Linked DNA regions of Diceros bicornis minor. The protein of the gene in region 4 purifies or fractionates together with the protein of the main gene of each other region. This does not show direct contact. Links are inferred from orthologs where the notes say so. Each region holds a gene or a part of one and is shown on either strand. Other genes may lie near its edges.

Region 1 (6,720 bases), on a different chromosome or scaffold from region 4:
GTGTGAACTGAGGTCTCTGACCAACATGTGAGCAAGCTTGGGAGCTGGTCCTCCGGACCCAGCCAACATCCTGATTGCAGCCTCAGGAAAGGCCTCGAGCTAGAACCACCCCTGTAAGCTGCTCTTGGATCTCTAGCCCTCAGAAACGGTGTGAGATAATGAATGTTTTTGTTTTAAGCTGCTGCGTTTTGGGCTAATTTTTTATGCAGCAATCGATAACTAATACATCTTCCTCACTGTAGGGAAGAACCCCCTCTCTACCCCAAACCAACTCCTACCTTTACTGGGCAGCTCAAATCATTTAAAAGTTTCTTTTTCTCTTATACTCAGGTGAGGTAGTAAAATGAGTCAGAGCACCTGCATTCAAATATCTGTGGTTGCTGCTTTCTAGCTGTGGTACACTGGGCAGGTTACTTAACCGCTCTGTGCCCCAGTTTCCATATCTGTCAAACAATGATGGAAAGGAAAATTGTGAAGATTAAATCAGAGAATAGATCTGTGAGAGTACCTGGCCCTCTGCTGGGCACTGGTTGGTGCCCGATAAATCTGAGCTCCCTCTGGCCCCCTCTGACTTTCCGGCCTGACTCTTTTGCATGCTCCCAAGCCCCTCCCAGAGAGGCTGGGACAGGACCTGGGTCTTTAGGAGCTCCCTAAAGCCCCAGGAGCTGGAGGAGGAGGAGATCTGCCCTGTGCTAGGATTTTTCTCCCAGTCTTGGGGTGAGAGACCTGTCCACGAGACGCGAGAGGCGGGATGTACTTCTGGAAGGGTCCATTTGCAGAGCAGGAGCTGATGCTGCACCAGGTGAGGCTGGGGCTCCAGCCTAGCCACTCCACCACCTCCTCTGACAGTGAAGAGAGTCTAATTTGCCCCTCGCTAGTCCCTAACATATTAGGAAAACTGCTATTTCCAAGGCTTTGCCTATTTCCTTTCCTTTTCATCAGCTTTTTTTGTGTGTGTGTGAGGAAGATCAGCCCTGAGCTAACATCCATGCCAATCCTCCTCTTTTTTGCTGAGGAAGACCCCCTCTGAGCTAACATCTATTGCCAATCCTCCTCTTTTGTTTTCCCCCAAAGCCCCAGTAGATAGTTGTATGTCATAGCTGCACATCCTTCTAGTTGCTGTATGTGGGACGCGGCCTCAGCATGGCCGGAGAAGCGGTGCGTCGGGGTGCGCCTGGGATCCGAACCCAGGCTGCCAGTAGTGGAGCGCGCGCATAAGCCACGGGGGCGGGGCTCATCAGCTTTCTTTCCCCCTCACCTCCCTTTATTTTATATTATATTGTAGGGCTGGCTCCGTGGCTTGGCGGTTAAGTGCGCGCGCTCCGCTGCTGGTGGCCCAGGTTGGGATCCCCGGCAAGCGCCCACGCACCGCTTCTCTGGCCTCATAGGCCGTGTCCCACATGCAGCGGCTGGAGGGATGTGCAGCTGTGACATACAGCTATCTACTGGGGCTTTGGGGGAAAATAAATAAATAAATAAATTATATATTATATTTTAAATAAATTTTTAAAATGTATTTTAATCACAAATAATATATGAAAAATAATATTAGCTAACATTTCCTGAGAACTTACCAGCCGAGGTTCTAAGACTTATAAATGTCTCACAACCACTTTATGAGGTAGGTTCTGATGTTAGCCCCATCTTACAGCTGAGAAAACCAAGGCAGGGGGTTTAAGTAAATTGCCCAAGGTCACATAGAGGCAAAAAGAAGCTAATGAAGCTCGGGCTTCAACGTCAGTACCTCACGTACACAGGCTGCTCCACGACTCTGTGCTTAATTTTGGATTCATATTTAGTAGTTCTTTTCTTCAAGAGGCCCAAAAACACTGGATGCGGCCTCAGAGGTAACAGAGGCAGTGTGCTGTTTTCTTGCAGCTATGAAAAAAGACCTTTACCTCTACTAACACGCACACACGGAAATAGACACACACCCCTTTAAAAAAATACCTGTGGTCCTACTGTGTGTATAGCTGGCATCCGGCTCTTTTAACAGAAAATCTTGACTGCCTTTCCACGTTTCTAACTGTCGGGGGGTGTTCACCACAAACGCTGAAATGTATTTACCCACCTTCGCACAGTTGAGCCCTCTACTCCCCTCCCAACCGCGTCCACCCCTTCCCCGGGGTTCCTCCCCGCCTCCCCGAGTATTCTCCCTTCTCCCCGCTCATCCAGGTTTCCTGTCTCACACCGCCCCCAGCCCCCCGTATCCTCACTATCTCTCCGTCGCCCCCATTCCTAGCTGCCTCCAGCATTTCTCCCTTCTCCCTGCCCCGCCCCTCGTTTCTACTTCACCGCCCACCCATTTTTCCCTGGCTACTGGCCCCTCTCCTGCCTCCGCTTTCTCTCCGCCAACCTCATTACCCTTATTCACAGTTTTCCGCCCCCCTCCCCCCGCCAGCCCTGCCACTCGGCGGCCCGGCAGGGGCGCACAGCCAGCCGGCTAGAACGCGCGCTGACAATATAATGAATGGCTTCAGCGGTAATTAGCGACCCGGCGGCTAATCACGATGTACATTTACATTTTAAGTGCTGCAGAGGGAGCGAGGAAGGGGAGGGGACCGGCGGGGGGGCGGTGCGGGCCTTTTCCACGCTCTCCCTTCACTGACTGGGGAGCAAAGTGAATCCAAGTCTTCCACCGCTGGCGGCAGTTGAAGGGGGGTTGGGGAGCGGTGCCTTGAGGACCAACCCAGGTGGACGCTGAACAACCCCACCCTCAGCCTACGCTAACCTGGAGCTCACAGCCCTTTGCTCCAAACTGCAGACCGCTGCCTATATCCTCTCCAAGTGAACGTTCAGCCTAGGCTTGCATCTCCCCGTGGACGGAGAGCTCGCTTATTCCCTAACCAGCCCGTTCTAACGTGCATTCCGGCCATTCGAGCACTTTTTCTCAGGCCTCGCCGAAACTGCCGTCTTTTACGTCCCGTAACTGCCCGGGTCTTACAGAGCCTGAGGTTCCGCGCGCCCCGCAACGCGCTGCAGACAGTCTGTGTGTCTTCTCGAGGCTGCTGTGCCTCCAGCTCCTGTGGCTGTTCTTCGTGGGGCCCGCGGGAGCTGGGGCGGAGCCGAAGTCCAGGTTTGGCGCGGAACGCGACCCTGAGGGCCCCTGACCCCAGCGTGCAAGAGATCGGAGAGGGGGCGCAAAGGTCCACCTGCTCCAGCCACTCCCAAGGGGCAGTAATGGGGTCAGCCCGGGGTTCTGAACAGCAAGGCCCGAAAACTAGAAGATAAAAGATGCTGAGGAGGCAAGGAGAGCCTGAAGATGGAGAGGGGGACCCCAGCAGCCCGGTCTCAAGACTGGGGCCCAGCTCCCCCAGGCACTGTTATGCCCAAGGCAGCTCTCCGCACGCCTCCCGGCTACGCCGCGTGGTAGTCAGCCCCACCCGGATCAGGTGTGCCCCTCTCTCTCAGTTCTGACTGTGCGTGTGCGTGAGGCGGGTGGAAGAATGAAGGGCGATGCCCCAGGGCAGTTCTAGGGAGGAGCCAGCTCCTTTTCAAACCCGCTGCCTCTCATCAGCAGTCCTTCAATCCCAACGTCACCTCTCTCTTCACTGTTCATCTCTCCCGGCAGGAGATTCGGGGCCACTCTCCCTGTCGAGTGGAGTTCCCAGAGAGGGGCACCCAGTAGCTTCATAACGCCCCCAAAGCTTCAACTTCCCACCTTCCTCCATTCTCCTCAAAACCTGCCTTCACCAATCTTCTTTCTGAAAAAGGACCCCACTGGGTCTCAGGAGGCCTAGGCTGACTGACAACGAATTCCACCTGGGAAGAAGGGATTCACGTTAGCAGGGAAGCATGCTTAGCTTACCCTAAAGCATGCAGCTCTAATAGTGTGCTTTCAGGCACGAGTGGAGGGAGCTTAACTCCCCTTGAGAAGGGGTCTCCTTGTTCTCTTCCCATTCACCTCAGGGAACAGCCTGACCCAGAGCCTCACTTCCCACACGCCAGGGGTGTACGTGGGTCCGGGAGCCTCCAGCTCCGGTCAGGCGCGCGGAGGCTGAAACCTCGGTCTTCGGCTGCCCCGAGAAGACAACACCGCGAATAGTCGTCCCAGGGAAGGCGCGGAGCGGAACCAGAGCCAGCGCCTCCCGCACTCTGCTGACCGTGCACAGGCTGTCCTTGAGGCAAGAATACCGGCTCGGGAGCGGAAGGGACGGAGTAGGGGGGGTTCCCCTGAGGAGTAGGGGAAAGAGGCCCCAGCAGGCTGCTTAGAAATCTCTCCTGGGGAGGGGACAAGGAGTAGCCTTCAATTTGAACGCGGAAGGGCTTGGGGACCCGACTTGTGGCGGCATTTGCACCGCAAACGCAGTTTTTATTTAGGTTGCCCGTTTATGAGGGTTGACTCGGAGACGACTGATGGCCATTATAGGGGAACTTCGCCTGACAACCCACCCTCGGACGCTGCCATTGCGCCCCAGCGTGCGCGCCGCTCCCACGCCCTTTTAGCTGAGGACCTGACTGGATCCGAGAGGCTGGTGAGGCTGGGACCGGGGCGGGCCGGGCCGAGTTAGGGGCGGGGCCTGGCAGTAGGGGCGGGGGCTCCCAGGCTCCCAGGCGGGGCCACCGCTAAAGGCGCGGAGCACCGGACGCCGAGAGCGCGGAGTAGAGCAGCGCCGACTGGAGAGAAGTGGGAGAGAAGAATCGCGCCGTCCCAGCCCGCCCGCCAGCGTCCACGCCTCTCCTGCACCCTTACCTCTGCCGGCCCTTGCCGGACTCGACTGGCGGCCATGCAGCCCCGGGGCTGAGGCGGCCCCATGGCGAAACCCGCGTCCCCGCGGTCCCGGCAACGACGGCGCATGGAGAACTTCCGTAAGGTGCGCTCCGAGGAGGCGCCGGTGGGGGACGGGGCCGAAGGGGGCGGCCTGAGCTCCGGCCCTTTCGCGGACCTGGCACCGGGCGCCGTGCACATGCGGGTCAAAGAGGGCAGCAAGATCCGGAACCTGCTGGCCTTCGCCACCGCCAGCATGGCGCAGCCAGCCACGCGCGCCATCGTCTTCAGCGGCTGCGGTCGGGCCACCACCAAGACCGTCACGTGCGCCGAGATCCTCAAGCGCCGCCTGGCGGGCCTGCACCAGGTCACGCGGCTGCGCTACCGGAGCGTGCGCGAGGTGTGGCAGAGCCTCCCGCCCGGGCCCACGCCGGATCAGAAGCCTGGCGACCCGGCTACCAGTCTCAGTGTACTTAAGAACGTGCCCAGCCTCGCCATCCTACTTTCCAAGGATGCACTGGATCCGCGCCAACCCGGCTACCAGCCCCCGAACCCCCATCCTGGCCCCTCATCCCAGCCGTCGGTGCCGACGACCAAGAGGAGCCTTGGGGAACCCGCAGCTGGAGAAGGCTCCGCGAAGCGGTCACAACCTGAGCCAGGTGCTGCGGAAGAGGACCGGACGGCCTGAGAACTCCCGGCTCTGGGCCACCTAGATGGACTGTATCTTACCCCCAGCGCCTCGACTTTGAGACGCACCTCCAGCCTTTCACGCCTTAGTACGCTAGAGCCCACAACTGAACACAGCTCCTCAGACTGGCAGCGTGGACCCCAAGGCGACAAGGGAGGGACCCCAGGGAAGCTTCGTGGGGTGGTTACTCCTCCACCTGTGTATTGCCTGAAGACGCAGAACTCCACCTTCAGCTTTTCTGAGCCATACTGGGACCTTCTTCAGGGAAGGAATGGTGGGCAGGGGGACTCGAGCCTTGCTCAGGGACCCCCAGCATTCAGGTGGGGGGCTCCGAGTGTGGAAGCCGAGGAGAGCTCTTGAATCACCCCCACCGTTGGCAGCAGAGGGCAAGGGGTGAGAAACTGATTGCTTGAGGGCAGGGGAGTCTGAGTTGTGGGGGGTCCTATCCTGCCCATCACGGCAGGACACAGTTTCTTTTCTAGTTTTCCTTCCCCTGCTTTTAAGGATCATCCTAGGATCATGGTGGCAGGAGGCATCTCCATGGGCTCTAGCTCTTTCAACGTCCTCCCTTCCCCAAGCTGGCCCAGAGGGAGAGACCCAGGACAAGTCTCCATGCCTCCTCCCCTGAGCCCCACAGCTAGAGTCTTGCTTCCAATAAAACAAACAGAAAAATGGCTCTGTCCCCATGTTTTTTCCTAACCACTTGCTTGTGCAGACACTGCTCTGGCCTGCCCCCTTGTGTCTCAGTCCCCTCCAGCCTGGAATCCTTAGCCTTTGGAGTATTCAGGGTCAGGCACAGAGACTGGACAGCTTCAAATTGTTGCAAGGGACACATTACCTGGTCCCTGTCTTCTCCCTCTCTCCCAGCGCTCCCTGGCTGGCTCTAGCCTCAGGTGCTTGTCACCGGAAGGGAGCCTTTGTCCCCTTGTGCATTACTACTAAGGGAAAGGGAGCAGCAAATTGCTTTTCTCGGAGGAGAAGGAAGGCCAGCATTGATAAACTCCTGGGGGTCACTGCCAAGGGTGGCAGACCCTGCTGGGGTCCCTAAACTTGCAGCCTCTTGCCAATAGACATCCTTATCCAGAAGGCTGGCACAAAGCCCTCTGTACCCATGGGTAGGATCTCCCCTTCATTGCTCTTTCTCTGAGAAAGGACAGCACACCCTTGGGAGAGGGGGAGGAGAGAGACTGAGCACAAATCCACTGCTGGAAATTACTATTCAGCAGAGAAGCTGGGACTTGGGCCGTGAATCACTGCAGGATCCCTGATAAGCTGTGGCCTGCAGCTCTGCACAGCTGTCTGTTGAGAGATAACAGCCTCATAA
Region 2 (8,097 bases), on a different chromosome or scaffold from region 4:
TGTATGCACATGATTACACATTCAAATGATACTTTCATTCTATGCCCTTCTGTAAGTCTCTCTCCCTCCCTAGACCCTAAGCTTCTTGTACATCCTTCCTAAAACATTTAATACACATGCAGCAGTACATTCCCCCTTCCTATGGTTATTCCAAGCTGCCTGCTCCTCCAGCTGGCAATTTGATGAAAACTAGGGAAATTTGGTAATGAAATTTAAAGATATTAATCCCTTAAGAAAAAATAACAAGAAGGATCCTTGCTGCGAAAATGTTATGAACCACTGGTCTAGGAAGCATATCGTGTTTCTCCCTCCCAGAGACAAGTGCATCTCTCTTCCCTTGATTTTCTTCCTCACCTTCTGCCTGGGGCTTGGCTAAGAACCACAGGGACCCATGCGGCAAAACTAAAGGAAGTGAAACAAGCCAGCCCTGGAGCAGTCTGCGGCTTGGAACTGTCCCTATTTTCAGGTAGCCAGACTTTCTCATTCCAGATCCTCCCTCATTCCAGGTCATTTGTCCTGCCAAGGCCTGCCCACCCTGAAGTGCCCCAGGCAGGATTAAGATTTAAGTCCTCTCCAATTAAACTTCTGCTTATTAGGCTGGCTACTGATGTTCAGGAACAAGTGTCTCTGTGAAGTATGTCGGAATTTAGAAGGCACCTTCTCCATGTATTGTTTGATTCTCACAGAATTCCTGTATAACTGTCCCATGTGTGGAGGACAAAACAGTCTCAGGTTAAATATCTTGCCCAAAGTCACAGCTAGTTTTCCAAATCCAAATTTTACGTGCTTTCCATCGTGGCTGCACCTCAAAGATAACCTGTGGCGTTTTAAAACATACAGATGGTTGGTCCTTACCCCAGATCTACTAAATTGGGATCCTGGGGAATAGGACCAGGGCATCTGTACTTTAAAAAGCTGCCCAGGTGAGTCTGATACAGAACCAGAATTAGGAACTGCTGATGTAGGATGGACGGCCTTTCCACACTGGACAGACCAGTAGAGGCCTCCAGTGTTCCTCCTCAGTCACCTTCTAACAGAAAATCAAAATTCAGTTCCTTGGGGTGAGAGGTCAGACCTTGTTCGTGTCAGCACTGCCCCTTCTAGAAACTCGGTGTCTGCTGCCTAACCCGCTTCCGTCACATCAGCCCCACCGCGCAGCCCTCCCATCCCCCGTCATCTCCATGCTCCCCTCAAGCTCAGGGAATCAGGAGGGAGCTCATCCAAATCCAGTGGTGACTGGCAGAGGCTGGCATCGGGTTTACGGTGATCAGGAAGACGAGCAAGACGAATATGATCTAACAGAGCTCTTGCCAAAATCCAAGTCAGTTAATGTGTCTGAGCATTGAAACAACACAGAATCCTTACATAAATACTTACAGTTACGTGCTCTGGAGAGAGAGCAAGATAGGCTTTAACTCCTCCTGTCTTCAGAATCTGGAGGGGGAGAGGAGAGCCAAGGAGTTTGGAAAAGAAGAATCTTATGTCATATTATTCAAAAACAAAGGAGTGACTGACAAGGAGAAGTAACAGTAACTCTTTAAGGTGACATACATGGCTCTCCACATCCTGGCCCCCATCGCCCCACCAGCCTCTCCCCTTAGCTGCCTCACCCTGCTGGTTACACCCCCCACTGAACCACATACTATTTAAGGAGGCCACCAGTTTCTCACCTCCACGTCTTTATACACATATTCCCTCTGCCCAGAATACCACTCCCACCCTCACCCCCATCACTGCCTTACTTCCACAAGTATTTCTGGATTATCCACAATGCACCAAGCCATAAAGTATTAAAGTAAAAACAGTCGCCTCCCTGAGCTTAGAATCTATGAGGAAGTCTTATCAGCAAATAATAATACAACGAGACGTGGCGCACATTAAGGTCAAGAAACTACAGGATCCTAAGGGAACATATACCAGAGGCCTGACTTAGTTGAGGGGATCAGGAAGGGTCTCTGGAGGCAGTGACTTTTAACCTACATCTGAAGAATGCTACCAAAGGGAGAACGAAGCAGAAAGAGTATCCCAGAGAACAGCATTAAAGATAATGAAATAAGTTCAGTGTCGCCTGGACAGAGATGCTAGAGAATGGTGAGATAACAGGAAAGGCAGGTAAAGAAGAGACAGTGAAGGTCCTTGTACGCCTTATAGTGGGAAGCGACTGTAACGTTTAAAGCAGAGCGGCAGAATTAGAAAGACATTCCAGAAAGGTCTTTGTGAATTCGGGCCTGGGAGGGTCCTGTGCCAAGACTAAAAGCAGCAAAGAGGCTCCGGGAATAGTCCTGGTAAGACATGACCGTGGCTTGCGGTAGAGCCACCGCAGAGGGGATGGACAGAAAGATATACTAGTTGAAATAGTTCAAAGAGAAAATCTACCTGACTTGAGCGATCGACTACGAGTAAGGCAGAGGAAGGACTCAGGGAGGCCTCCTGGTTTGCGGATCCGGTAGCGGAGTGGAGGGCAGCCCCAGTTCCCAGTGGCTGCACTCCCGACCCTGAGTTAACCCCTCCCTAGGGACGCCGCCCCTCTATCTGGTGCCTCCGTATTTACTATTTAGCATACGCAGGTGTGTTATGCTGTCGTCCGTCTCCACCTCTAGGTTCTGGAGTAACGAAGGGCCAGGATGAGGCTTTATCCTAGTATTTCTCGCACCCAACAGACGCTCAACTGCAGGCAGCGAGCGGAGCGGGCGCCGACGCCCGGAGGCAGGAAAATACGCGCGTCCGGGCGGGGACGGGCAGGCCGGGATGCAGGGGGGTCCAGGGGACGTCCTGGAGACCCTGGGTGTTCTCACTCCGCCGAATCCTGGGGCCGATCCCACCTGGGCGGCCCCTCCTGGCCCCGGGGCCCGGCTCCCACTCACCACCGCGGGAGCTCCGGCTCCACGTGCGCCGCGACGCGCGTGCGCAGAGCCCTCGCTCCGCCGTCCCACCCACCCCCACCCCGCCTTCCAAATGCTCAGAGAACTTCACATTTCATCCTTCGGCGTTAGCTCACTCACGATGCAGAAAGTCAGGCCACGGCGTCGCGCGGCCCGGAAGCGACGGCGCGAGACCGGATCCCAGAAACCCTGAGTTCGGCAGCGCGGCTGGAGGCTCCCTCAAGTTCTCTACAGCGGCAGTGCGCAGGCGCAATGTCTGTCTCGCGAGACCTGACGGTTGCCACGGTAACCTGCTGCCCGCGTCTCCGCTGCGTGGTCTGGGGGCCAGTCTACCGCCCTTAATGTCCTGAAGGCCGTTTGTCACAGCTCGCAACCTCTCCTTTCTGCCTTTCTGCGCGTGGCACTCTTAGCCCTCTGTCTCTCCTCGCTTTTCTGTATTTGGCTTGCCTCAGGCCCAGTGCCCCCATTTCCATCGAATCCCTGCCGAATCCCCAGCAACAGGAGAATCAAGATAAATGAGAGATAAGGGGTGGATTGAGGGGGGAAAAACGTGCTTACAGGCAACAATGTAGGCACTCTTTAGCTCCCTGAAAGAGAAGGAGAGTAAAGCCTGCTTTCAGTTTTGCGACAGCGGTTCGGAAAGCTCCAAATGTCTGCTCCAACCACTGGAGACTTATGGTTACGGATGGAGGCCCTGGGAAGTCGCGGACCACTGTAAATCAGCTGAAGACCATTTTCAAGTTCAGCCATCTGAATCTGTTTGCCCTGGGCACGAACTTAGAGGACAGTAGGTTGCTTCTGACCTAATTTACACCTTTCGTTTTCTTTTCCAGTCTAACTTAGGCTCTCTTCCTTCTCCAAACATCTTCCTCCCTTTCTCAATCACTGCGTTGCTTGCTTTGTTTCCCCTTTTTTGGTCTAGTTTCTATATTTTCAGCTTTCAACACCTACATCCTAACTGGCCATAAAGTCAACAAAACAAAAAACCGTGTTGCTTTTTGTCCAAGATGATTGCAGGTTACCCAGGGGAAAGTTCAGTGTGGTTTTTTAAATCACAGAAAGATTAAAAATAACAAAGTTACAATGAGTTTGAGTGTAACAACAGACTTTATTTCATAAAATGAATCCCATTGGTTCATTGTGATGAACTGCAAACATGTAATTCTAAATTAGTCCTTTAAGCTGGGAGACAAATAGAGACACACATGTCTAATTGAAATGCTAGAGTAATGAGAAGGAAATGTGTATAAGTTTTTGTTCCCCTAAGGGTTTAGATTTATGGTTCCAGTTTGTATAGTTAGATTTATAGCATCATCTCAATTTACATTTGCTCTATGAAGATTACCTGCCATTACATTCCATGGCTCAGGAGCCAGGCTGCCTACGCTGAAACCCTAACTTCATCAGTAACTAGGCATGTGACCCTAAACCAAGCTAATTAACCCTCTCTAGGAGGTGATAAAAATAGGGCCTGTTGTGAGGATTAGAAGAGATAATCTGTAAGATGCTTAGCACAGTCCCTAGCACATAGAAAGTGCTTGGTAACTATAACTATGATGAATCCAGTGACACCCTGAATTAAGAATTAAGTTAATAAAAATTAACTGTAGCCTCTATGATTTTAGTGCTTGTGTTCTATTTTATGACTAGCAATATAATTTTCACAAGAATTTTGCTAAAATGTAAAACTACCTTTCAAAGGTAACTTCTCTCCCATTTGTGTCACAAAAATATTACAACAAAAAAGTCAAAAGAAAAAAATTTTCCATGACTCGATTACCCCAAAACACATTTCCTCTCAGTGTTCCCTTCTAATTTGTTTCACATTTGTGCGTACATTGACATTGTTAAAATAATAATGTAGATACAATTTTGTGTTCTGATTTTCATTCCATGTAAGATTTTTTTCCATGTTTTTCAAGCATAGTTTTCAAATTGTCACTTTAACTCTTATATATTTCATATCCTATACTGAATGATCAGTTTTACTTTGTAATGACAGCTGTTAGTTATTTTATCCTGAAAAAACTCAGCCTAACACAGCATCATCACCACCACCACCTCTCAGCCTTCCAGTGTGCTCAACTGAAACTATGGGAATGGAGGAGAAACACCGAGGTGGGAGTCTCCCACCGGATAGGAAGGCCTTGTTCCAGGAGGAATTACAGGGCATTCCACCAAGATTCAGGTCAGATTGCAGTCAAGCCTTTCCTACGTGGCTAGGTGATGTGAAAGGTTGTCAGGGGGCCTTGGCGGAGCTGTCCTATTAAAAAAGAGAAATTTGAAAGACCTTAAATCAGATGGTAACAAAGCTAGTCTGAGATTTTTTTTAGTAGACGCTTTTTTAGAGTTTTTTTTTTTTTTTTTCAGAGAAGAGGCCTAATGTGATGTGATGCTACACTTTGGATTTTCCTTAAGTCCTAAACTGCCAGCACCGATTTTGAAAATAAAGTATCTATGTGATATAAAATAGGCTGCAAGTAACTGTTCAAAATATACCAGAGGTATATATAAACAGGCCCTATAATTTTAGAATTACTTAAAGTATAGATATTTATATGAATTAATCACAGAATAATTTCTGAAGCAATTTGAGAGCCAGTGGTTGAGAAGTACTTTTAAGATAGAAATGTGTACATATGTCTGTGTATATGTATTAGGTAAAAAAAAATCAATAACATTATACTTTGTTAGTTCAATATTTATTGAGTATCTTTTATGTGCTAGATGCTAGATATGTAAGAATGAAGCAACTGTTTTTCTTTCTTCCCTCCGTCCCTCCCTTTTTTCCATCCTTCCTTCCTTCCTTCTTTCCTTGCTTCCTTCCTTTTTTCAACAGAGAACAGTGTTTACTGAATTCTAAGTGTTGAGGATAAAGCAGTGAATGAAAAAAGTTCTAATGGAGGAGACAGACAATAAACAAAAAAGTAAACTATGTAGTATGTCAGATCATGAGAAGTGCTATGGACAAAAGTAAAGCAGAGAAGAGAGCAAGGGGGTGCTGGGATGCGTGACGAAAGGCCTCACTGAGAGGTGATGTGTGAGCAAAGACCTGGAAGAGGTGAGGGACTGAGCCGTGCAGACACCCAGGGAAGAGTGTAAGGGCCCTCAGGGCAGGAGTGTGCTTAGCCTGTTAGAACAGCAAGGAGGCCCGTGTAGATGGAACCCTTTGAAGGAAGGGGAGAATGGGAGGAGAGGAGAGGAGAGAAGGCTACAGGCTTGTAGACCAGACTAAAGATGCCTCTTGTCCTAAAAAACTTCTGGAGGAGGTGCCATCTAAGCTGAGTCTTGAAAGAGGAATTGGCTGGTTAATAAGGTAGGAGAAGGGCATTCTGGACAGTGGAGCGCAGCAGCTATCTATAAACCTGGAGAACAGGGAATTTAAAGTAGTTTGGTGTTCCTGGAGGAGAGTGTGCACACTTGTGGGAAGGAGAGCAGTGAAATCATGGACCACCACACATATTATTCAGAGGCCCTTCTGAGAAAGAGAGCCAAGTTATCATTTCAGACTAGATCTCGACCCTGGCTGCATCATTCCCGCTGTTTGCTCCCTACCCCACAACCTTGAAATCAGAATCTCTGGTGGCAGGAATCAGGCATCTGGTTTGTGTTTGTGTTTTTCCTTCCAGATGATTGGATGTGCAGCCAGAGTTAAGAGCTCATCTGGACATCTTGCCAATACTACCCAAAGCAATCTAAAGATCGAATGCAATTCCTGTCAAAATTGTAATGGGTATCTTTTGCTGGAATAGAAAAACCAGCATGAAAATTATTATGGGATCTCAAGGGACCCCAAATAGCTAAAATAATCTTGAAAAGGAAAGACAAATTTGGAAGACTCACACTTCCTGATTTTAAAAACATACTATAAACCTACAGTAAGTGAAATGTTACAGAGCTGACATAAAGACAGACATATAGACCAATGAAATAGAATAGAGAGGCCTCACATATATGGTCAATTAATTTTTGAAAAAGGGGCCAAGGGCCAGCCCCAGTGGCTTAGTGGTTAAGTTCAGCGTGCTCCACTGGGTGGGGCTGGGATCAGTTCCTGGGCACCAACCTACACCACTCCTCTGGCAGCAGCCATGCTGTGGTGGCGGCTCACCCCCAAAATAGAGGAATATTCGCAACAGATGTTAGTTCAGGGTGAATCTTCTGCTGCAAAAAAAAAAGAAAGAAAGAAAGAAAAGAAAAGAGGGCCAAGACCATTGAATGGGGAAAGGACTGCCTTTTCAACAAATGGTGCTGGGAAAACTGGATATCCACATGCAAAAGAATGAAGTTGGACACTTATACAAAAAGGAACTCAAAATGGATCAAAGTTCTAAACTTAAGAGCTAAAACTATAAAACTCTCAAAAGAAAACTTAGGGGAAAATCTTCATGACACTGAATGTGGCGATGATTTCTCGGATATGATGCCAAAAGCATAAGCAACAAAACAAAGAATTGATAAATGGATCTTCATCAAAATTAAGCCTTTGGTGCATCAAAGGACGCTATAAGAGAGTAAAAACAAAACCCACAGAAGGGGAGAAAATGTTTGCAAATCATAGATCCGATTTGCAATACCACTTCACACCCACAAGGATGGCTATTATTAAAAAACAGAAAGAATAAGTGTTGGTGGGCATATTGAGAAATTGGAACCCTCCTACATTACTGGTGGGAAGGTAAATTGGTACAACTGCTGTGGGAAACACTTTGCCAATTCCTCAAAAAAAAATTAAACATAGAATTACAATATGGCCCAGCAATTCCATTCCTAGGTGTTTCCTCAAAAGAGTTGAAAACAGGGACGCAACTAATGCTTGTATGCCAGTGTTGATAGCAGCATTGTCCATAATAGCCAAAAGGTGGAAACAATTCAAATGTCCATCAATGGATGAATGGATAAAGTGTGATATATACATGCAATGGAATATCATTAAGCCATAAAAAGGAATGAAGTACTGCTACATGCTACAACATGGATGGACCTTGAAAAAGATTATGCTCAGTGAAATGAGCCAGTCACAAAAGGACAAATACTGTATGATAGTCACATTTCCATGAGGTGACTTGAACAGGCCAATTCATAGAGACGGAAAGTAGAGTAGAGGTTAGCAGAGCTGGGGGAGGAGGGGATGGGAAGTCATTGTTTAATGGGTATAGCCTTTGTTTGGGAAAACAAAACAATTTCGGAAATCGTGGTGGTGGTTACATGGCATTGT
Region 3 (7,503 bases), on a different chromosome or scaffold from region 4:
AAGCTGGAGGACAGGGAGGGCCAAGCGCAGCTGGTTCAATCCCCTGCCCAGGGTCTATTTGTGCAAGCCGACTACCATCAAGCAGAAAATGGACTCGGGATGGAGCAGGGACCTTTGGGGATGCTGGCAGAGGCACAAAGTAGAAGTGTACACACCGAGAGGCAGAGTTCCAGGTTAAGATTCACAATGTGCCAGGAATTTGTGTGAAGTTAAGACAGCTACTCAATCTCTCCCAGCCTCAATTTCCTCACCTGTAAAATGGGGATCATAGGCCTATTTCATAGAGTTGTTGCAAGGGTTAAATTGGGTAAGATATGTAAAAGTGCCTGCTACAGCCAGCGTCCACACAACTAATGAAGTAGTGCCAAACTTCAAAGTAGATGAAAGGAATAATGTCGATGAGACCGAAGGCAAGTCACCCAGCTTCATCAGCAGCCCCAGTCGCACCAAAACAAGAGGAGCCACAAGTAACTAGGATTCTTCACAGCTCCACTGGAGAGGAAGAACACGGGGCCTCAAGATAAGTAAGTGGCTATTGCACAGTGACTTATACAGTGAGGGTGGAATCCATAGAGACGCTGTGAAATACAGTTTCAAACAAATGGCTCCTAGGAAAAAACTGGGACAAACCAATCAACCCACTGGATATGACTGGGAATAGGGTAAGCAGAGGAAGGTGAGAGTCACAAACTCTAAGGAAAGACACGGAACCACAATGAACACCCAGTTCTGTGAACTGCTGCTATGGCTGCACCAAGAGAGCAACCTTTTGAGACAGCTGTTGTGCAGACTGCCAGGAGCACAAGGGTGCTTGCAGCCACACACCCAACAGCAGTGCGTCTGAACACACAGATCAAAAGGCTTTCCTCTCCATGAATCCAGATGAGAGATGCTCCCATGTTACAACATCCCCATGCAATGTTTGCGGGCAAGTATAACCAGAAACCACCACCTGATGAGAGCACATGAAAGAATGGGATGAGAATACTGAGGGGTGGGGGAGTGAGGTGCGCACCTGACCACACAGCCCATCTCCACAGGCCCTATTTAAAACAGGAGAAGAACCCTAGTATTGCGATGTGATCTACCTATACCTCCTCCCCTTGCACGGTCACAGACACTACACGGTTTTTCTTACCTTTCTTTACAAAAGTATTGATGAATCCGTGAGTAATGAACTCATGAAGAGGTAAATTCTTCACAAAGTAATATGGTCCCGTTTCCATAACAAGGTTTTTCAGCTCTTTTGCTAGGATCCCACATTCAGGAATCAGAAACGAAACCTATTGGAATGTGTAATATAAACGTCTTATTTTCATGTAGATCAACTCCCAAGTTTTGAGGGATGAGATAACATCATGAAGGCTGCTAACTATTCCTCCACAGGTTTCAACAAAACTCTTAAATTTACCAAATCTCAGGAAAAGAGAAATTTGACAATTTAAGTTTTTCATTTGTATATTCAAAAGCACAGTACAGGAAAGGTGAATGAGCAAAACAAGTTCAATAGAAAGCTCTGGCTTGCATTTCATCTTTCTCAAGCGAGCAGTATGTTTTATGTCCTGTTCCTTTCACTACTACAATTAATTTTTAGGGCAATACAGTATAACTGAATACCTCCAGGTTTGTTTATCCTGGTACGAGGCTGGAATCAAAGGAACTGTCCCTTAGGGCATAAGGAATTTAGGGACATCAATTAGCAAGAGGTTCCATGGAAGCAGAAGTGCTGCTGGATGTTCCTATTTTCCAGACAGAAAAACTCTACAGAGCACGCTGGAAGAGACAAGCTGCACTTCCCCGAGGGCTGTCTGTGACGAGCTTTCCACCCAAAGCAGAGAGGTCCACCCGACAGGTTTCAAATGTCGCCCCAGTGCTCCACACCTTGAACGTCGCCCTCCCAAAGCCCGAACACCAGCCTGCTCCTGAGGATCAGGGTCTCTACAGTGTCTGAGAAACTGGCCCGTTAGGCCTCAGTTGAGATTAGGCTCATCAACGGAGAGTGTAAAAGGCTTAAGCCATTATCATCTCAAGGTTGCTTTTTCGGAGGCCTCGCCACTTAAATGGGTTGGTGAAACCGGCCCAGTAGACGCCTGACTGGGAAAACCGGCCGTTCTCCTCAAGTCGGCACATCCTGGATAAACCAATAATTAACCTCATGCATGCCTTGACTTCCGCACCCGGGAAAAAGGCACCCCGCGAGGATGACATTTCACGAAGCAAAAGCCAAAGTTGCTCTAAAGTGGTGCTTGCGAGTGGGGCCACCTCGGCGAATCTGCGCTAAAAGCTGCCGAAATGCTGCACTTTGGCTGGAGAACGCAAAAGGCGGCAGCCAAGGTGGGAATTTTCTCAGATATCAAACCAGTTCCCAAAAGCAGTTTAGAAAAGCAAGTAGCTTGCTGGACCGGAACTCGGCACGATGCTCCGGAAAGATCTACAGGCCTGCGGGTGGAACACGGAATCCAGCGGCGGGGAAGGGGCGAGAGTCTGCCCTCAAATCGGGGCGGGGCGGCCCGCGCACTCGCCTAACTCCCTAGACCCAGCCTTGCCTTCCCGTCCCACCCCCGGCCGCCACCACCTGGGGCGGGGCGGCACCACAATAAGTAGCCAGAGGCACTGCGGACCCAGCCAGGCGCACATCGCCCTGCCCCTCCCTCCGACGGCTGGACACCGCCCTGCGCCCGGCGCATCCTGGGAGTCGTAGTCCTGCAGCTCTGCGAGCCACTGCCCCGAAGCGGCCAAGAGCATACGGCTCCCAGCATGCCCGGCGAGGACCCCCACCCCCCACCCCACCCCCCCGCTTCGCACGCCGAGGGCGGGAGGACCACGGGGAGCAGAGCACGGCTGTCCCCAAGCCTCTCCCGCCAGCGGGGATGGAGCACGGTCCGGCGGACCCAGGGCGGCTGCACTCACCCTGTAATTGTGATAGTGTGTCTCCACAACGTGCCGATGGCGCGACTTATCGTGGCCGAAGTTGGATTTCTCGCAGACCAGCAGGTGCCGTGGCACCTCTCGCAGCCTGCGCAGCGTGGCCATGCTTTTCCCCGCGAACGCCCGCCCCAACCTCGGCGTGCCCCACCCCTTTTCCTGGCCCTCCCCCACGTCCCACTCCGCGGGCATGCGCAGGGCGGGCAGGCTTCGCTTGTTGAGCCCCCCCACCGCCCGCCCCCTTTTTGGGGGTGGGGCTAGGCTTCATAGGGACCCGTGCCAAAGCTCACTGTTGGGTACGTGAAACCGTGCGTGTAAGTTCACTGCCTAAATATTCGGTACTTGGGGACCTGGAACTTGCCTGTTCGAAGCCACTTTCCTCGCCATGCCCTCCATCCGTCCCAGCTGCTGTCTCTTGCCATTAATCCTCCCTCTGGGCCCCCTTTGGTCCTTCCTAAAATGTAAAAGAAGTTTCTGTAGGACGGTAATAACAGTTTCTGCTTTTTGGCCTATAATAGGACTCCTTCAGACTCCTTCGGAATCACTTTTAAGATCCCTTTTGAACTGCTTTTAATAATTTGTTGCTACTGGGTGTTATGGTGATAATTCATTTTTCCATTTAATTTTTCTTATCAACTCTGGCTACTACATTATTACAGGATTCTCAAACTGGAGTATGCCCAGCCCCAGTTCTGTGCAGAGAGGATGAAAAACAGCAGAATATTTGTGGTACAACCTTCTGGAGCATTAATTTTACTGTAAGGTTTTGAAGAATAGAAGTTAAGTAGTTTACAAGGTAAGTAGTTCAAAATTTAAAACTAAGGCAGGCTGGAGAGTGGTCTGCTGTTAATGTCAATCACCTGTGCCTGAAATGTCAGCCTGTCTCCAAGAATGCTCTAAGGAAAACCTATTTCCTTTTCTTTAAGCAGGAAAAATTATAGGGACTAGCAAGTCAGTCGAAAACCTCTACCTGTTTCCTAAATCACAGTATGGCACCTAGATATAAGCTACAAATATCATCTCAGGATGTAAAATGCTTTTTAATACGTAGCTTCTTGGTCACCTCACAATTAAGTAGTGGTGGCCTCTCTCAGACAAGCAACGTCAGATAGATACATCTCCTTTGTTGATACTCCAAAGCTTTTCGAAGTGACTAGGGTGATTCTGATGGTCTACCAATTGTATTTGGAAGCAACATGAAGCTTTTCTAGCAAGCCATTTTGTTTAAAATGTTTTATTAAGTTTTGAAGATTTAATAGAAATTTTATATGTATAAACAGCTGAAAAATGTGTTGAGAGATAAATAGCTGCAATGCAGTTTGAGTATTCAAAACTCAAAGGTGTTCTTCCAGGGCATTACTTAAGGATGTGTCCTGTGAGTGAGCCTGTATTATGAAATAGAAGGCAAAAATCTCATTTATTTTAAAGATTAAAGCTGTAACTTCAAGTAGATTTGAGGCTGAGGAGGCCTTTCAGCCTGCCTCTTCCGAGCTCTGGAGTTCTGTGTCTGTAATGATCCCTTGCCAACGTCATTCATTTCTCCCCGCTGCTGGGTCATTTCTGTCAGCAGACAAACATGGCCTAATGTTGTGCATTAAACAGACACCCTCCTCTGACCCCAGATGCCTCTGCATTCACCATTCTGTTTCTCTGCTCCATTAGAGCTCTCCTCACGTTCTCTCCTGAACCCGTTCGTTCTAGCTTTCCTAGACCCTACTTCACTGAAATGGCTTTTATCAAGGTCACTGGTGAGTTCCATTTTGCCAGATTCAAGGCCAAGTTTTTGTTCTTATCTCACTCAGACTTTTAGCTGCATGTGACAAGATGATACAGTTGACCACTTCTTCCTTGTATTAACTGTATTTTCTTATTTTTTCTATTCTTATTTTCTGATGCTCTGGCATTTGGAGCCTTGCTGACCAGCCTTGCTGGCTGCCCCTTACAGAGTTAGCCCATTCCTAGAGATAGCGAACAACTAGTGCTGTAAGTATACCTTTCACTTGCAGACTAACCGATCCACACCCCACCACACCTCTTCTGTGGGCTGTTACCCTCCAGGCTACTACCCCTTGCCCTGATCACCCCAGGGCCAGGTACCAGACAACTGGGGACAGTCCCTACACTCCAGAGCACGCTGAAATTATTCAAACTAGCCAACCCTGAACCTGCTTAGTCTGTTTTCCCTGCCTCGCCCATTCCTTCCCACAGTAAAGGCTCTGTCGGATGCTTTCCCTCACGCCCTCTGCCTCCTCACGGACCCCAGTGCTTCCCCAAGTGGTTCTGTGTGGCCTGCCGTGCCTCCTGATTCTAGGGAACTGTGAGTAAAAACTTCTTCCTTTATGACAGTCGTTTCCCTGTCTGTGTGTCATACCATACCTGATTAGAACAAATTCCTGGGTACGTTTCAAAACGCTCCTCTTGAAACGCTTTCCTCCGGATTTTCGAGACCCTGTCTCTCCCGGGTTCCCTCCCACCTCACTCTGCCTTCCTCCTCCTGGGCCTCCTCCTCCAGACCTCTGGTAATCTTCAGCCCCTTTTCCTTCCTGTCTGCCCTCTGATCTCAAGGTGATCCCACACAGTCTCCCAGTTTTCAGTCCCGTCTACCTGTTGGTCACCCCCAGGACTGGTCCTCTTCCCTGGGGGAGCACCAGGGAGTCATGCTTGACTCTTGCTCCCTTCTCACCCCACATGCAAATCTGTGGCTTGTTGGCTCTGCCTGGTTGCAGCCTCTTCTCACTGTCTCCATTCTACAGCCAGTTCAGCCACCTTCCTCTCTTTCTGGTGCACTGCCAAAAACAGCCTCCTGACCGTCTCCCCGCTGCCTGTCTGGCCTTCTACGGTCCATTCCGCACTCAGCATCTGCAGTGATCTCTTAAAAACATGACAAACGTGATATATGCCACCCTCCCCAGTTTCTACCCTGCTGCTGCTTCTCCTTGCTGTCAAGTAAAAGCTTAGGTAACCTAGCCCCTGCCTCCCTCTGCAGCCTCATCTGCCCTTGCTTGTTCAGACTATTGTGTGTCAGATTTTTTGGTTTCTAGAGCTGAAAGTCATCTTGACTGACAAACAGATATTAGATCATAGACTCTATATCATAGAGCATAGAGAAAAAAGTCTGTGAGAGAATGAAAGGTCAGAAATGGCTAAAAAAGAAAAAAAGCACAGGAAACAAAACATAATTGATTTATATATATATATGTATATATATATACCCCAAAGAATAATGAATTTTTTTAGAAAACAAGCCAACAGACTTGCAAAGAAGTAAATGTACCTTTGTATTCTTAAAATACAAAAATATACTTAGTAAATCTAAAAGGACAAAAATTTTACACATGATGTTTTGGGGCTACAATGGAATAAAATTAAAAATGACAGAAACAGAATGTAAAGATGCTCAACTCCTTGAAGATGTTAAAATATTCTTTTAAACAAATTAATGCTTGAGTCAGGTCTAAATCTAAAACACAGTCACAGTGCCTGTAAAATATATGTGCTTGCAATGTCGTATCTAGCTGTATGCCGTGTTGGGGAAAGGAGAGAGCTCTCCAACGCAGAAGCTCTGGAGTGATCAGGTGATGTTCATCGGGACCCTTTCACTGCTCTGAAGCCATTTAACAACGTCTCATTATAATTAGGAGCAGCAGTGAAGGCAGTGCAGACACTGGTAATAAATCGGAAACCTCCCTCCTGCCGAGCCTGACCTTGACTTCGCAGTCCTTTCCAGCACAGGGCTCCCCGAGGCACCACAGACGGGCCGGTGTTGGCGAACAAGGTCAAAACTGCCCTCCAGTTGCAGGCAGACTGGAAACTGGATGCTGCAGCTGCAGTGGAAAACACTGGGGGCCCCAAGAAGAATACAGGATCCACACCATGAGAGGACTGGAATCCCAGAAGTTCTCCTGGTGCGGGCTCAGAGCCAGACTACTCATTTCCTCCCTCTGACTGGTGGGAAATCAGTGAAGCACACAAACATGTTAAAAGTAGCAACTGTGTGGGCTGTGTCGATACGTGGAGGTGTACAAATTGGGGAGTATTTTAAAAGCAGAACACTACACAATATTATATGTCAATTATATCTCAATGAGGCTGGAAAAACAGAACAGTCACACAGTCTGATTAAAGCTCTTGTCATGTATGTTCATAAACAAGTTTGGAAGAGAATTTGGGAAGGGGTAAAATTTTTTATAAGTCTCATTCTTTTAGTTTGCTTAACTTAACATATGTTTAGAAGTAAATTGGCACATAAAGAATTTAAATCCTAGCTATCCAGAAACTTCAATTATGTAGAATGAAGCATTTCTGTGTAACTCGGATTTTACTATAGTTTGAAAACTATTAATCCACAATGCAGTTGAGGAAATAAGATACATTCACAGAGAAAGGAGAAATCGCCGTAATATGTATTGATTACTAGTAATTGTATAGTACTGTTGTGTGTAACGTTACATGTGTAATTGAACGCCTGCGATGAGTCAGGCACCACTGTGAGCACTTGATATTCCTCATCACACAAGAATCCTCTCTGAGGCAGGTTTAATTAGTTTACTAATTAGAGGCTAATTATGTTGATGTTGA
Region 4 (7,436 bases):
GATCCGTCTTTCAAAATCTTGGTTTCGAGGTAATCTCTCCTTATGAGTCAGCGGTGGAGCTGCTGCCAAACTGACAACGGCCATTTGCAGCATCCAGATATAACCCAAATTCCACTTATGAGATGTGATCTGCCTGCCCCCTTCAAGAGTGAAGGGGGCACAGTGACGGTGCTTACCAAGGCAGGTATCGGGACACAGGCTGGTGTCCCCTATGCAGTGGGAGATGACACAGATCAAGAAGCCCCAGTTAACGGAACCTGACATGGCACAAGGGGAAAGGAGGCCAGCACACGGAACAGGCCATGAGAACGACGGGCCTGACCCGGCCCAGCACATCTACAGGAACGATCAGATGCCAGACATGGCAAAGGACATCAGAAGCAGCACTAAGGGCTTCAAAGCCATCGAGCCATCTCCATCACCACCTCTGTTGCTCCCACACCTCCTGCCAAGCACTGTACCTGAACATCCAACTCTTGTGCCTCTTTCTGAGAAAAGGCATGGTAGATCACACCTGGGGGATTAAAAAACACAAAATGATCAGGTCCTGTCGGGTATGGCTATAAGGCCCAAGACTCTTCTAACTATGAAGATAATTATCCTTATTCAGAGACAGGAGATGAGGGGGTGGTACAAAGAGCACAGCGTCAAAGGTTTCTTAGAAGCTTCTCATCTTACCCTCCTAGAAGTTCCAAGGGTGTGCTTTAAAACAGTGCTTCTCAAACGTCCATGTGTGTACGACTCTGGGATCTCATTAGAATGCAGTCGGGCCCACTCCCAGATCCTGCGTTTCTAACAAGCTCTCAGATGCTACTGCAGGTCATGGACCACATGTGGAGCTGCACTGGTTTCAATAACCACAGGTGAGGAACTTGAGCAGTTGCTCTGTAAGTCTAAAGATGTAACTCATTTAAAAGTTATGTGATACAGCTTTCCGGGATGCAGATGGTTAGAAATATTACATTTTGTTGACTATAGGATGTCTAAAAAAGAACTTTCACACTGTAATATCTATGAGATTGGGATGTATCATACAACTGATGGTGTCCTAAACTGATAAAATACAGTATGTCATTCTTCAAACTCAAAATACATATTGATCAATGTGGTTTCAACCTTAAAAACTTCCACACTCCTGTTTCTTATTTAATTTGTCTGAAGAAGAAAACCGTGGCATTGGGGACAAAGCACGAGTGTGAATAGAATAAGAATGAGACAAAGGCATTTAGGGGCCAAAAGACTAGAAATTTGGTTCATACTATACTTTATCAATTCCATCCCAGTTGCCTTGTGCTTCCTTGAGTACATCTGAACAAGCAAACCAAAGTGGTCACAAATTTTAAACACAGAGTCTGGTTCTCCCTCAAACGGAAGATGGGGATGAAAACCTGTTCGCAGAGAGCAACTTGCAGGGCCTGGAACCCCAGGAATGACTTTGCTTCACCTGCCACAGCTGCCTAGTATTAGGCAGACTTCCAGCCTTTTCTGTAACAATACACATCTAATGGTTATTGAGCACTCATTCTTTACCATGCACCTGATTAAAAGCTACACATATTTCATCTCATTATACTTTCTGAACAATCTTTCAAAGTAGTGATTATTCCTATAACACACATGAGAAAATTAAAGTTCAGATACGCTGGAACAGCTGATCACATAGGAGGGAGCAGCAGACGTGGAACTCAAAATCCTGATCCAAAGCCCCATGTTAACGATGTCTGCACTCCTCTGCCTGTAACTGCCCCGGGTGCTCGCTCCCCTCCTCGCACATCTCTTCCCCCAAAGCCTTGGGTTGGCGATGTCATTCCCCAGCAGGCTCCCGGCGCTTCACACCAGACAAGGGCCGTTTACGAACAGCGGGCTGCGCAGGCCCCACTATCAGCACCTCACAGAAGGGGAACCAGGTGGAGAGAGGAGCGGGGCCTCGACCACGGCACCCAGGGAGGGTTCGGCCCAGGCCTCGGGCCCTCCTCCAGCACCACACACCGCTGAGCAGCCCCCGAGAGAAGCCTCCATGGAGCCCAGACAACCATCCCCGGCTCAGAGACTGCGCCAGGCCAAACGGGACTCTGGGCTCAGTCTCACTTACGCAAAGAGGGACAACTCCCACAGCAGTCCGTTCGGACTCCGCAGAGACCCTTTCCCCCCGCCAGCACCGAGTCCCCGACCCTTTACATCCCGCCCCTCCACAATTTCGTGGCCCTCAACCCGGCTTACTCGTCATTCTCGGGCCGCTTCCGGTGCGCTCTGATGACGTCTCCTTCAGGAGCCGCTCACTCTGCCACGCTCCGCTTTCTTCCGCACCCTCGACTACCAGAGCCTCTCTCGCCAGTCTGTGGTGGAGAGGTTCCTGGCGCCCAAGGCCGCGCGGTACGCTCAGCCGACAGACCGACGCGCTCCGACCTGCAGCTGAGCTCCCAGGCGCTCGGGGCTCGTAAATGGCGCCGCCCGTGACGTCACCGACGCGCGCCGGCTCAGGCTGCGCATGCGCCCGGAGCGGACTCCGCCGGCCGGAGGGGCACGGCTGGTTCTCGTCGTGTCTCTGATCTGTGCGGCTGCTTCAGCCTGCGTGTTTCGTAGGCGGGGGAAGGCCGGAAGCCGAGGGCTGGGTTGGGTTAGGGCCTTTGGAATGCTCGTGAAGGCCTGGAGTAGAGCGAGGGGAGCCGAGTTGGAGAGACACGAGGGAGGTCGGGGACCAGGGGAGGGCGGAAAGGGGCCGGGATGGTGGTGACGGTGCTGGGAGCGAGGTCTGTGGGATCCCGAGTCGGAGTTCTAAGGCCCTTCCCATCTCTGGGCCCCACTTCTCGCATGTACTCTGAGTGGGATTGGACTTGATGGTCTCTGAAAGCTTTCTTGAGACCCAGAATGTTAGTTTCTGTCAATAAGATAAAAGGCAGGGATTGGTTCTCATTGCTTTGGGGAAGGGGCCGAGAAGTGGCTGGAAGGCCGGGAGCAGACCTCTCAGAAGGGCCCGGGTGCTGGAGAATAGTTAGGAGTCCGTGGGACTGGAGGTCCGTACCGTGTGAACTGCTAAATGTGAACTTGAACAAGGCGGCAGGAGACAGGAGGAGCCAAACTCAGTGCGGTGGACTCGGGCCCTTCTGAGCAGGACTTGCGTGATTCTGGAGATAAGGGAGAAGGCAGACCTCTGTCTGAGAGCTTTTCTTGGGTTGTTAGGACCTTTAACTCCCATTGACCTCTTCTCAAGTAGCCGCGGGGCCCGGATGACTGCCAGTCTTCCCAGGAATTCCCTGATTGTGTGTGGGGCGGTGGGCGGGCACTCCCAGAGCTGCGGTTACTTCATAGTTCCCTGATTATAAAAATCTTTTTAAAAAGCAAATAAACCACTTTATTATCCTCATAATAATTGTCTATGTATGCAGAGAGATACCAGTCCTTGTAGGTAGCAGTGTTATTGTGATTGTTGTTGATAATAGCAAAAAATTGGAAACGACTCCATCTTTGATAATGGTGGATTAAATAAATGAAGTATGTGCTAATTAATTAGGTTAATTAAATGCATTACAATCACAGGGTAAACTTCAAAAGTTCAAATTCCTTGGCATCATCCCTGGAGATTCTTATTTAGTAGGTAAGTACCAAGAATCTGTATTTTTAAAAAATGTTCCCAGGTAATTTTGTTGAGTAATCAGGTTTGAGAACTATAGTATGGTACATTTATATAACTTGCATAATGGAATACCATGTAGCCATTAAACAAATTACGTACAATTTTTTAAAGGTTACAAGATGTTAACAAAACCAAATAGATACACAAAAAGGATTGGAAAGATGAGTTTTTTTTCTTTGTCTATTTTCTAAATTTTATTCAGTGAAAGCAAGACTTTCTTAAAAATATTTTTGTTTTTTATAGCTGTAAATGACAAGCTTTGACACGTGGATATGTATGTGTTTTCCCCGTAGTGACTTTGTGAAAGTTCCATGGGAAGTCACGGTTGGATGGCGTCGTTGCAGATGAGTCCCTTCACCCCCCAACAACTTGTGGAAAACTTCAGCTGTACAGAAAAATGGAATGAGTTCCACAGTGAGCACTTGTCTGCTCCTAGGTAGCACAGTTACCATTTTGCTCTGTTTGTACAGGTTTCTTTTGATTGCTGCTTTGAGACATTCAGGCTGCCAGGTGGAGCATTCAAGGGAAGTTTCATCTATAAGCTCAAAAAGATTAAGCCTCAACTATTAAATAAGTGCATATCTATGAAAATTAGGACCCTCTTTATAAATAAACACAACTAAATCTACAGAAACCGTTTATCTACTAGCCTCTGACAATACAGTGGAAAAGTATTTTTTCTGCACCCCTTTTCCTCCACTTTTGGATTAAGGAAAAACATTATTTCTAGTAGATTTCCTGTAAATATAAGAAAAGGTGGTGATCCTGAAGAAATACCAGCATACCTGCAATAAGAACATGGAAGGCTGTGTTTTCAGTGAAAGTTGTAATCTTCCCATGTTAAAAAAGTCAGTATATTATTTTATATATCATATATATACATATATATGTATATACACACATATACATACACACAAACACATACTGTGTGTATATATGTATGTATATATATATATAGAATTTTTTCTGTTTCTTTTAAGTGATTAAATCTGGTGTGTTTGAGAGGGATGGGGCGTGTGCTGCTTTTCTACAACAGGAAAGCCTTATCTGGAACACGGGGTTAACAACAGTACCTGCTTCCCAGGGGGATTTGGAGCTTGCAGTGCGACGATGCCCATGTTAAAACAGGGCCTGGCCCAGGCAGTACCGTGTGAGAGATGATGGCCATCATTGTCTGCATCCTCACAAAGCCGGGACAGCTCCTGAGGCTCAAGATTATGAATTTCCCTGGCCTTGATTTGCCCTTGATCTGTACGCTGGTCCAGACGTGTACTGACAAGGGGAGCTGGGAGTGGTGGTGGGGGGACCTGGACACAGTGGCCCCAGCAGTCATTCCTCAGGCTTACTAGTGCCACAGGAAACTGCCCACTCTAAGTGAAGAGGCAAGCAGTGAGGTGCCAGTGCTAATGTTGGCTGTTCCCGCCAGGCAAGCCCTCTCCTGCTCCGTCAGTGGGTGCTCTGGCTACAAGCATCAAAGGACTTGTGCTCACAGCAGGACAACATGTCACTGCCTTTTGGTCAAGAGGCAGCACTGTGCTCTAAGTCAATTTAAGACCCACCATTTGGAATTCCAAACACCGGGGACTATAACTCTTGGCATGTGTGGCCGTATACCAGTTTCTGAACTCCAGGTTTCTCAGTCCCTTTGTAACCACAGGCCCTCCAGGACCGGTTTGACTCACCCCATCTCTTATCAACAGAGTGATTAAGGATTGTCTTTCAGGGGCCGGCCCTGTGGCGTAGCGGTTAAGTGCGTGCACTCCACTGCTGGCGGCCCGGGTTCGGATCCCGGGCGCACACCAATGCACCGCTTGTCAGGCCATGCTGTGGCGGCATCCCACATAAAGTGGAGGAAGATGGGCACGGATGTTAGCTCAGGGCCAGTCTTCCTCAGCAAAAAGAGGAGGATTGGCATGGATGTTAGCACAGGGCTGATCTTCCTCAGCAAAAAGAGGAGGACTGGCAGATGTTAGCTCAGGGCTGATCTTCCTCACACAAAAAAAGGAAAGAATTGTCTTTCAGAAAAACTGCAAAGTCACATAGCCAGAGCATGCGAAAAAGGGAATTGTAACCTGAAATGACCTCGGAACTAAAGATCCTCTTCCCCATGGAACCCAAGGACCGGGACTCGACCAGAACTTGAAAGTCGGACTCTTATCAGAAGCGAGGGGTCCCTCATTCAGGAGATCCGGTGTTAAAATTCCTTCCCCACCCTGTCATAAATGTTTAAAACCTTACCATAAATGCTTGAAGCACCACCAATCAAAACCTGTCCCACCAGCATTTCTGCCTGCCAGCCTTTTCTCCCTAACCTCTTAAATTTTGCCCCAAGTCCTGAATCGGGGAGACAGATCTGAGGGTACATGTCCCCTGTCCCCCTGCAGATTGATCGCACAGAATAAAAGCTGATTTCTCCCCCAAAGACTAATGCCATAATTAATTGGTTTATGCACATCGGGCAGAGAACCCCAATTTTGTGCAGTAACACTTCAGCCTCCAGAAGTCACTCTTCAAGGCTGCCTTGATGGCAGACGTCTAAAGTACAGCCAAAGTAGATTCTTCCAGATGCTTGAAGAAGTTCCCCTCTAAGCGGAAGCCATTGAAGAGAGCTTGGTTTTGGTTTCCATGACAGAGTGTCTGAAGGCACAGGAGACTGTGGGGTCCTAAGAGACTTCTTCACTGGGTGGATGGGGAAATTTCTGAGGCACTCCGGGTTTGCAGGGAAGTCCCTGCAGGCTGCATGGGCACGGGTGCAGGCAGCTCATGCTTCCCCTCTCCTGTTTGGGCCTGCATTCAACTTCGCGGAAGCAGCCGTTGGCTCCAGGCCTAAGAGCTGTGTGTTTAGGTATGTGTGAGCCCATTCTGGTCCAAAATATGGGAAAGTGGGAGGGAGAAGGAGCTGATGTAGAATCACCCCAAACTGGAATTGGGACAGGGCTGGAAAGCAGAGACCTGGTTTGTGGTTTGAACCCCAAAGCCCTGCTGGAGGTGGGGGCCGGGGCTCCCCTTCAAGATATTTGAAGACAGGGGAGCCAAAACTTGAGAAATCTGATTCAGTGAAGAGGTCAGGCCCTCAGCATGCTGCCTGACAGAAAAAGGGGTGCCCTTGTTGGGAGATGGATATACCCTTTAGTCTTCCCCAGTCTCTTCTCTTCGTTAATACACAACATCCAGCTTAAAACATGGTGTATATGACATGCAAAGAAGCAGGAACTGTGACCCATAATCCAGAGAAAAGAACGGTCACTGGAACAGAGCCATAGATGACCCAGATGTTTGACTTGGAAGAGAAGGCGTTTAAAATACTATTATAAATACATCAAGTAATTTAGAGAAAAAGAGGGACAAAATGGGTGAAATGATGAAGGATTTCAGCAGAGACATGGAAATTCTAGAGCTGAAAAGTACTTCCAGTATCCCCTATGATGGCTGATGCCTGCATGTTCAAACTTAACCGCTGAGACCACACACCCTCTTTGGTCATCTGATAGACAAATATTTATCTCCCACAAGACCCGAGGCGTCTCTGGGGCCCTGTGTCTTGCTTGTCAAGTGGAGGGCACCCTGGGGACTGTTCCTGGTCTCCCTGCAGCCCCTGTACCTGGTGCTAGAGGAGTCAGGAAAGGTTCTGTGTGCCCCAGGTCCTGAGAGCCACAGGGGCCTCAGGCATCTGAAGAGCTGGGGCGTGGAGGTTGCCAGCTGGAGAATGGCTGCAGGTCCAGGCTGGACTTTGCATCGTTCTCCGTCTTCTCAGTGGCCACGTCAGTCCTCATCAGTGAGGCTCCATCCCTTCCTGTCCCTG

Evidence for each region.
Region 1: the proteins of POP4 (region 4) and RPP25 purify together in Homo sapiens (affinity purification with mass spectrometry; 3 studies listed by BioGRID and IntAct, counting the BioPlex papers as one, with this or other methods). This does not show direct contact. The link is inferred for Diceros bicornis minor from reciprocal best matches to the Homo sapiens genes POP4 and RPP25.
Region 2: the proteins of POP4 (region 4) and RPP38 purify together in Homo sapiens (affinity purification with mass spectrometry; 4 studies listed by BioGRID and IntAct, counting the BioPlex papers as one, with this or other methods). This does not show direct contact. The link is inferred for Diceros bicornis minor from reciprocal best matches to the Homo sapiens genes POP4 and RPP38.
Region 3: the proteins of POP4 (region 4) and RPP40 purify together in Homo sapiens (affinity purification with mass spectrometry; 3 studies listed by BioGRID and IntAct, counting the BioPlex papers as one, with this or other methods). This does not show direct contact. The link is inferred for Diceros bicornis minor from reciprocal best matches to the Homo sapiens genes POP4 and RPP40.

Annotation. Positions count from the first base shown.
Region 1 is NC_080744.1:67,855,535-67,862,254, reverse strand, and holds RPP25 (ribonuclease P protein subunit p25), read left to right. Parts: upstream 1-4,571; 5' UTR 4,572-4,754; coding exon 4,755-5,396; 3' UTR 5,397-6,071; downstream 6,072-6,720. UniProt on the Homo sapiens protein: Component of ribonuclease P, a ribonucleoprotein complex that generates mature tRNA molecules by cleaving their 5'-ends. Also a component of the MRP ribonuclease complex, which cleaves pre-rRNA sequences.
Region 2 is NC_080775.1:15,572,570-15,580,666, reverse strand, and holds the start of RPP38 (ribonuclease P protein subunit p38), read right to left. Parts: upstream 3,106-8,097; 5' UTR 3,003-3,105; intron 2,866-3,002; exon of another isoform or gene 2,564-2,865; intron 1,435-2,563; 5' UTR 1,378-1,434; intron 1-1,377. UniProt on the Homo sapiens protein: Component of ribonuclease P, a ribonucleoprotein complex that generates mature tRNA molecules by cleaving their 5'-ends. Also a component of the MRP ribonuclease complex, which cleaves pre-rRNA sequences.
Region 3 is NC_080753.1:61,267,886-61,275,388, reverse strand, and holds the start of RPP40 (ribonuclease P protein subunit p40), read right to left. Parts: upstream 3,041-7,503; 5' UTR 3,034-3,040; coding exon 2,911-3,033; intron 1,284-2,910; coding exon 1,139-1,283; intron 1-1,138. UniProt on the Homo sapiens protein: Component of ribonuclease P, a ribonucleoprotein complex that generates mature tRNA molecules by cleaving their 5'-ends. Also a component of the MRP ribonuclease complex, which cleaves pre-rRNA sequences.
Region 4 is NC_080773.1:3,833,020-3,840,455, reverse strand, and holds the start of POP4 (ribonuclease P protein subunit p29), read right to left. Parts: upstream 3,176-7,436; 5' UTR 3,023-3,175; exon of another isoform or gene 2,647-3,022; 5' UTR 2,228-2,646; coding exon 2,221-2,227; intron 2,138-2,220; exon of another isoform or gene 679-2,137; intron 515-678; coding exon 462-514; intron 1-461. UniProt on the Homo sapiens protein: Component of ribonuclease P, a ribonucleoprotein complex that generates mature tRNA molecules by cleaving their 5'-ends.